3 linked regions of the Saccharomyces cerevisiae S288C genome follow. Changing the gene in region 1 together with any one later gene gives a genetic interaction. Each region holds a gene or a part of one and is shown in the gene's direction. Other genes may lie near its edges.

Region 1 (3,075 bases):
GCTGCAAAGGACAGAACCCTATGTCTGAACATGATTGCTTTCGTACCCTGAAAGCCAGCGCTACTAATTAACCAGGTTGACCAGCCTTCACTCATTCGCGGCGACAGCAAAAGCGGAAGAAGAAAAAAATAACCAGCAAACTGTCAATGGGTTTCTAGGAGGAAAAAGAACAAGTTAAAAATGATTAGCACCAACAACGTTGCCTATATCTGTCATTGGGCAGCTGTGCGGGGATTCTAAGGTTTTTGCGCAGATCGTGATATAAAATGTTGTAAAAATGGTTTGCTACTCTATATTGATGAAGTTTTCATATTCAAAAGGATTTATTAAATGAATGAACCATTTATAATTGTGAGGGCAGGATAGCAAAAAAATCCTACAGAATAACTTAGTAATGCCAAGAAAGTTTTTGGGCAATAAAATTGAAAAGAATGTTGATGCAGTCAGACCATCTTCGCTAACATTAACAGCTGATGACTTGAAGTATATTCCACCGATACCACAAGATTTTGAAGATGAAGATGATAAGGTTTTACGTACCAGCAACGGTGGTAACAGGTTGTCTAAAAGATTTGGGGGTACACTGAAACTGAAGAAACGGTTAGAGTCTGTTCCAGAATTGTTCTTACATGATTTCAAGAAGAGGCCACGCTCCCAACTTGAGGTGATTAGAGAGAAAAAATTTACTGACATGCAAGTTCCCAAGGGACCAGTTTGTCCTCAAAGCACGATTCTACCATTACGAGAAAGAAAGAAGGTAAAATCACTACCAATTCAAAGAAAAAGTTTACGTAGGCCGACGCTGTCAAAGCCTGCAGTAGTACAATCTTTAGGGCATAAGACACATTCGGATCATATTATTGATAAAGTGTTTGTCTCTCGCCCGGCCCCAATTGTAATGCCTGTAAAAGCCCTTACTCCTATTAATCCGGTCTCCCTAATGCAAACACAGACACAAGATTGCTGTAGAAAAAATAAGTATGGCAAAAGCGGTAGTGAAATATTGTTTGACGAAATTCTATCAGCCTATGAAAACGTTTCTACAAGCGATTCTACTGCCCTAAATTCAGAAATTGACAGAATTATCGATATATGCGCTTCAAAACAAATAGCTAAAAAAAATGAGGCATTTCAGGTACCATATGTCGTCTGCCCTGACGACACAGAGACTTTGTTTTCGTCAACAACACCAAAGTTGAAACCTGTCAATTCTAACACATTAAACGATGTCATTTCTAGCCCAGAATACACCACGTCTGGATGCAGTACATACTCTGACCAATCGAATTCAGATGAGGAATTGTCCGAAGTAGAAAGTATAGTATGGAACACGAATAAGAGGACAATGAGATCATCCATTGTGTCTGAAAGCACTAGTGAGGAAGGCTATTGCACTGCTGCGGAGACTTTGCCCTCAACAGTATCAGTGGAAGATCTGGATATACATAACAAGCTTCCAAAAGTTGCACAAACATCATCGTGCAATACGCTTTTGAATAAACTCTCTATAAGAAAATTAAAAAAAGTAATTCTCGATCCGCCTAAAATAATGCATGTCATGACTTTTGACGATGACAGTGATGATGGAGATGACAACGATGACGAGGATAGGGCTTTGAATATTCTTCAAAAAAAAATTGACTGCATTGAAATAGCAAGTTGCAGCAGTAGCATTTACAGCGAATAAAAAAATTTATTCTAGGTTTCAAGTAAAATCATACGTATATAAGTAGAATAATGGCATGAGCGGTGACACATTGTGTATTTGCACCAGAGGTGGTCATCAATAGAAAAGTGTCACAATTTCAACGATAAATGGCCGCTTATGTCGCACCTTTTGTAGTATTACCCGCAAAGGATCATAATGAAGAACTACTATGGCTACATATAAACAGAGCAGTTAGATACAGTGCGTCTTATAAGGGCATTTTTGAGCATAAAGCACAACAGGTTGAACTCAAGAAAACTACATTTCACTATCAATGGCACCCACACAATTGGATATAAAAGTCAAGGCCTTGAAGAGGCTGACTAAGGAGGAAGGGTACTACCAACAAGAACTGAAAGATCAGGAAGCACATGTGGCAAAACTTAAAGAAGACAAGTCAGTTGACCCATATGACTTGAAGAAACAGGAGGAGGTCCTTGATGACACAAAAAGATTATTACCTACTTTATATGAGAAGATTAGAGAATTTAAAGAGGATTTAGAACAATTTCTAAAAACTTACCAGGGTACCGAAGATGTCAGTGATGCAAGATCCGCTATTACGTCTGCACAGGAATTACTCGATTCTAAATAATCTATAGATAACCTTTTTCTTACCTTTTCGCATTTATTTTGATGCAGGTTTTTATACTTTATTATGTACAAACCTGTTGCGGATGAATAATAAATCTCGCTAGAAAATGCACGGAATATTATATGCAAAAGTAGAAAAGTGGAAGACGGCTGTTGATACAGTGACGAGATATAAGAACATTTTACTCTATATTTAAAAAGAACTTTATTAATCTATTTAATTGAGTTAACACCTTTAATGCCATCGATATGGATTCTCGAGTTGCACTGGTACGAAAATACATAGCACCATCGGTGATAAAAAGCGATTCTATTCAATTGCACGGTTTAGTGAAGGCACCACTATTTAAAGCGTTGAATAGCCGTTACAAATTAGGTTCACTACAGATAGTACAGGATGTCGATTGGAATGCGAAGACAACACCATCCGATTCTCCAGAGCCTCTGGCCGCTACTCTAAACTCTAATCGATCCCTACCAATGACTAAGTTCCCCAAGCAGGAGATCTTGGAACAGGTAAAATTGGATACTAAGGTTGGCAAATGGAGGAAATTCATGACAGGTTGGTTTAGAATTGGATTGTATCTTTTAAAAAGCTATAAAACAGGAATTCAGAACACGTTAAAAGTATTCTGGGATACTCGAAACGAAGAGCAGAAATTCAGCATAAAAAACGGTGCATTGGCTAACTTAGTACGGGAAATAGAAATGCATGAAATCAATACAAGACTATCGTCTTCATCATTGCCTACAAGTTCTTCAGCAAAAGCCCC
Region 2 (2,595 bases), on another chromosome or scaffold:
GAAAATTTATACCGCTTTACCATATTTTTGGATATTCTTCAAAGCAGAATTTGTACAATTAGCATTTTTCTTTATGGTTTAGATCGGCGGTGAGGGCGCAACAGATTTATGTATACATATTGAAATAATAAAATTTAAAAAAGAAAAAATCTTGGTAAACATTAAAAATCTTAATTCTATTTAAATATTAGTATTACAATAACAGCATGTTTCTCTTGTCATTAGCTGAGCCTTGGAGGTGGTCTTTTTCTTGTAGGAGACATCGAATTCTTCCTCGAATTAAAATTGGAATTCGAAGTAGTCGGTAGAGGTGGTAGTTTTGGAGAATTCAGGCCTGATGGATGAGGATGTGAGTTAGGCGAAGAGGAATCTAGGCGTGAGGGTCTATCTCTTCTTACTAACGGCGTATTGCGCGAACTTGAATAATTGGACATATCATCTCTGGTCGGTATAGGAGGTAAGGGCGGTTGGTTATAGTTGTGGGAGACTCTATGGCTGGAAGAATAAAATGCGTCATTTTCGTCGTCATCGTCATCATCTTCGTCGTAAGACAACGAAGTTACACCAATAGCCTTTTGAAGTGCCTCAATATCTACCTTGTTAGATTCATTTTGGCAGTTGTTTGTTGAACTATCAGGATTCTTAAATATATTTATCTTCTCCTTTAATTTCCTTAAATTGGCAAAATGGAATTTTGTATTCGAAGTGTTTGATATAGCAGTATCATTAGTTTCTAATGTAGACGTTGTACCCATGGATGCTGAAAAAGTTGGAGGTAAAATTATTGGGTCATTACTATTTGCCAATACCGCTGTATCTGATTTAGATGACATGGAGAAAACATTGCCATTTCTGTAGGGCTGTCCCTCATCCTTATCCTCGTGACTTGTGCTAACACACTGGGGAGTAATCTGTCTCATCGTAGAACCATGAACATAGTCATACTCTGATTCTGTTGGCAATGGTGGTATCGGCCTCATAGCCATAGATGAATCCAACCTGTCCATTTCTTTGTTAAGATCGTCCCTGTTTAAACGAGGTACTTTGGGAGTGAAAGTCAACTCAATGAATATAGTGCCAGCAAATTCATCCCCACTTCTTTTCAGTTCGTACCAGGTACAATAACCCTCCTTCGGGTCTGCTCTAATAGCATTTAAAAGGTCTATTTCACATCTTCCAATTGGCAGCGGAGATTTTTTCCTTCTATCGCAGTAAACTTCGACGTACATTAAAGGCTTTATCTCTGGAGTAATATCAAATTTTTCTAAATAATGGAAAACAGGGTTTTGACCTGCTCGATGTAGAGTGTTGCTGGCTCTTGTCATATGAGCTATTCGCAACCTAAGCATTACATTTTGCTTGTCCAGTTTATTCAAATTAGGCAAGTCTCTAGCTTTGCTCACATATACGGAGAGGATTCCTTGGTTTCCATTCCATACTTCTTCGGACATTCGACAGTGACTCAACGAGTTAACCCAATTCCAGTTGTGAAACCTAAGGTCTCCGAATTCTCTCGTACTATTAACATACCTTTCTATGTTTTTATCTAAATCATATGAGGAACGCTAGGCCGTCATTCATGATCAGCAGAGGCGGCTTTTCATACAATTTTACAGGAAGCTAAGTACTTAGAGGACTTATGCTCTGTTTGGTCCTGCGGAAACTACCAGAATACACAACGCCAAGAAACTAACAGAGGACCATTATGGAACTGTTACCACAGGGACAAAGGAACAACACTCAGGTAACGTTCGAAGATCAGCAAAAGATCAACGAGTTTTCGAAGTTGATTATGCGTAAGGACGCCATTGCGCAGGAATTGAGTTTACAGAGGGAGGAGAAGGAGTACCTCGATGATGTGTCTCTAGAAATTGAATTGATTGACGAAGATGAGCCCGTGCAATACAAGGTGGGCGACCTCTTTATCTTCATGAAACAGAGCAAAGTTACCGCACAGCTCGAAAAAGACGCAGAACGTCTCGACAACAAAATAGAGACTTTAGAGGACAAGCAAAGAGACATTGATTCCCGTCTTGATGCTCTGAAGGCGATCCTGTATGCTAAATTTGGTGATAATATCAACCTTGAACGTTAGAACACTCATTAAAGTGTGGGCTGTGGGTGTCTCCACAAAATGAGTAATGAAAAATTTTTAATTTTTTCAGGAGGGAAATTAAAGAAAAGTAAAGAACATGATAATAAAAAGCAAGTTTAAGTTATTGTGTATGAGATAGAGTTTTTTTTGTATACCTTTGTAATCCGCATATATTCCTAAGTACCTTTTTTTTCAGACAGAAAAAAAGAGTTTCTTTACGGAAATTACTTCTTTCGTTTGATATTGTTTTTCTCTTTCGAGATTTAAGAACGTGGTTGTGTTTCGTGTTTCTGTGCAGATCATATTAGAAAGTTTTTTTCTCCATTTTGATAGACAAAACTTGTTGTTTCTACTGAACACAGCATATAAGCCAAGAAAATAGTTTTCCAAAAATGTCTCAAGTGCAAAGTCCTTTGACAGCAACGAACTCTGGTTTAGCTGTCAATAATAACACAATGAACTCACAAATGCCTAACCGTAGCAATGTTAGATTGGTCAAT
Region 3 (2,542 bases), on another chromosome or scaffold:
ATAGATGGACAGAATGTCTTTTTTTACTTGTAATAACTCATACTTCGTGCTATTGAAGATAGCAGCCTGTGTTAATTTTTTATGGGATGCAAGGGGAGGTAAGCCCTTTAACTCTTCGTAATAGGAACTGCTTCCAACGGCATCAAATTCTATTCTTGATTTCCATTTCAGTATACCTTTAGTTAAGTCTGCTACCATGCTAGGCACTCTCTGCCTTTCTTATGGTTTGGTTACGCATACTCTTCCTTTATATATTCATTGTCATATTTTAAGGAAGCAATCGCTCCCGACGCAAAGTAAAAATATTCAGTGCTTTGCACTCCAGTTAGAAAAAATGAAGAGAATTCAATTGAGAATAAGCAGGGAAGTAATTGGATTGGGAGAATCTAAAAAATGTGGAACTCACTAAAAGCATTCGCTCTAGTGTTCGGAGGTTGTTGCTCCAATGTTATTACATTTGAAACCTTAATGAGCAACGAAACAGGCAGCATTAATAATCTCATTACTTTTTGTCAATTTTTATTTGTTACATGTCAGGGACTCCCCGAATTTCTGGATGTTCATCAACCTTTCCCTTACTTCAAGCCTCTGAAAACTCCACTTCACGTTTATGTCATTACTGTCGTTTTATTTTATATTTCATCTACGACGAATAATAACGTATTTAAATACAACATATCCATTCCGATTCATATCGTTTTCAGATGCTTCGGAACCGTAATAACCATGTTTACATGCTGGTTATTAAATGGTAGGAAATATACAAAGATTCAGATTTTATCAACACTATTTTTAACCATTGGAGCTATAATTGCCTCATTATTCAAAGATGCTGATTTTCGGTACCAAGATTTGAAACTGCAAGCGTGGAAAATTGGAAGTGACCAATCTGTAGATCTCACTTTTATTTTTGGCATTTGTATACTAGTACTTTCATCATTCACATCATCTTTACTTTCAGCATACAATGAACGTACGTATCAAAAATATGGAAAGCATTGGAAGGAGAATATCTTTTACAGTCATTTTTTATCATTACCTCTCTTTCTATTTAGTCGAAAGCAGTTAATTCACGAATATCGAGTGATGAGAAAGTCTGAAAGAATATTGTGTTCAAATTTTGGAGGGAAGATTCTAGTCCCGCGAGAAGAAACTCTCCTTCTTTTCAATGTGTTAACACAATATTTTTGCGTCAAGGGTGTTAATATCCTCGCCAGTAAAACAAACGCTCTGACACTTTCCATAACATTACTTGTAAGAAAATTTATAAGTCTTTTACTGAGCGTCCGACTTTTCGATAATAACTTGTCATATACTGGCTACATCGGGGTCTACCTAGTCTTTTTTGGTGCCTTTATATACTCGCTGGGATCAATTCACCCCAGGCAAAATGACAAGGGGGCGATAAAGAAAAGTAAATGAACACACATTATAAACTAACCTTAAATCCTACTTGTATGTTCCTTAACTCTATATTAGTGGTGTTGACGTAAGTTTAGATAAAATCGCGAACGCTGCCGCCTGGAAGTAAATGAAAAAAAAAAAAAAAAGAATTCATCACCTAAACTCACTAATCTTTAAAACTCATTCATGAGAAGTGGAGAACTATATTACAGCTATGGAACAAAGGAACAACGGTATGCAAAATTTCGATCTCTGGGTTTTAATAAATGCATGTAGCCAATTTTATCTTACTAACAATCTTTGTGTTTTCTCTGTGTATAGTCTTTCAAGCAAAATATAATGAATACAAACAAATTTTGGAAGAATTGCAAACAAAAATCATAGAATTAGGTCATGACAAAGATGAACACACTATAGTCATAAAAACACTGAAAGACGCTGAGCCGACGAGAAAATGTTACAGGATGATAGGTGGCGCACTTGTTGAAAGTGATGTTCAAACGAGTTTGCCTATTCTTGAAACTAAGAAGGAAAACATAGAAGGTACAATAAGTAAAATGAAAGAAACCTTAATACAAACTGCAAAAGAGTTTGAAAAATGGAAAAAAGACAATAAGATTCAAGTCGTTAAAAACTAAACCATATATAAAATCTATTGCAGTACTTAGTTTGGCAAAAAATATAAATAAACACAATCAGGTACTCTTATGTATTTATGTGAGCCATTTATAAAGAATTATAAAGGATATGAAAACATATATTAGTTTGTTTTTTTGAATGTTTCAAGTTTCTTGCCAACAGAGGAAGTCGTAACGAAAGAAACAACAAAAAATATCCACGCAACAATGACGCCACAAATGGCGCTAATATAAACCCAAGAATTGCTGATTTCCCAACTTCTTGGGTATTCATCATTAGCAAGGTGACGGATAGCTTTAACGTCTTTGTCAGTAGTGAACGACAGGCCAATCTTACGATAGTCAGTGAGGAATGTAAACACTCCATGGCGGTCTGGAAGGATGAATTCACCGGTGGTGTAATACTGAGTTTCAGAATCGTTTCCGCTTGGCGACAATGTTAGACGGTAGTACGGATCCACTTGTCTTAGTTCAAATTGGATATCATCAGCGATATGTGG

What was found.
Region 2: mutations in RBL2 (region 1) and GIM3 together harm fitness more than expected from each alone (negative genetic interaction), as found in Saccharomyces cerevisiae (6 studies listed by BioGRID, with this or other methods).
Region 3: mutations in RBL2 (region 1) and GIM4 together harm fitness more than expected from each alone (negative genetic interaction), as found in Saccharomyces cerevisiae (5 studies listed by BioGRID, with this or other methods).

The regions. Positions count from the first base shown.
Region 1 is NC_001147.6:818,472-821,546, forward strand, and holds RBL2 (Rbl2p), read left to right. Parts: upstream 1-1,982; coding exon 1,983-2,303; downstream 2,304-3,075. Other genes in the region: DSE3 (Dse3p), read left to right, coding at 395-1,687; PNT1 (Pnt1p), read left to right, coding at 2,552-3,075. UniProt on the Saccharomyces cerevisiae protein: Tubulin-folding protein; involved in the early step of the tubulin folding pathway.
Region 2 is NC_001146.8:345,169-347,763, reverse strand, and holds GIM3 (tubulin-binding prefolding complex subunit GIM3), read left to right. Parts: upstream 1-1,705; coding exon 1,706-2,095; downstream 2,096-2,595. Other genes in the region: INN1 (Inn1p), read right to left, coding at 222-1,451; serine/threonine protein kinase YCK2, read left to right, coding at 2,488-2,595. UniProt on the Saccharomyces cerevisiae protein: Binds specifically to cytosolic chaperonin (c-CPN) and transfers target proteins to it. Binds to nascent polypeptide chain and promotes folding in an environment in which there are many competing pathways for nonnative proteins.
Region 3 is NC_001137.3:146,558-149,099, forward strand, and holds GIM4 (tubulin-binding prefolding complex subunit GIM4), read left to right. Parts: upstream 1-1,618; coding exon 1,619-1,637; intron 1,638-1,725; coding exon 1,726-2,042; downstream 2,043-2,542. Other genes in the region: VAB2 (Vab2p), read right to left, coding at 1-198; YEA4 (Yea4p), read left to right, coding at 394-1,422; WBP1 (dolichyl-diphosphooligosaccharide-protein glycotransferase), read right to left, coding at 2,165-2,542. UniProt on the Saccharomyces cerevisiae protein: Binds specifically to cytosolic chaperonin (c-CPN) and transfers target proteins to it. Binds to nascent polypeptide chain and promotes folding in an environment in which there are many competing pathways for nonnative proteins.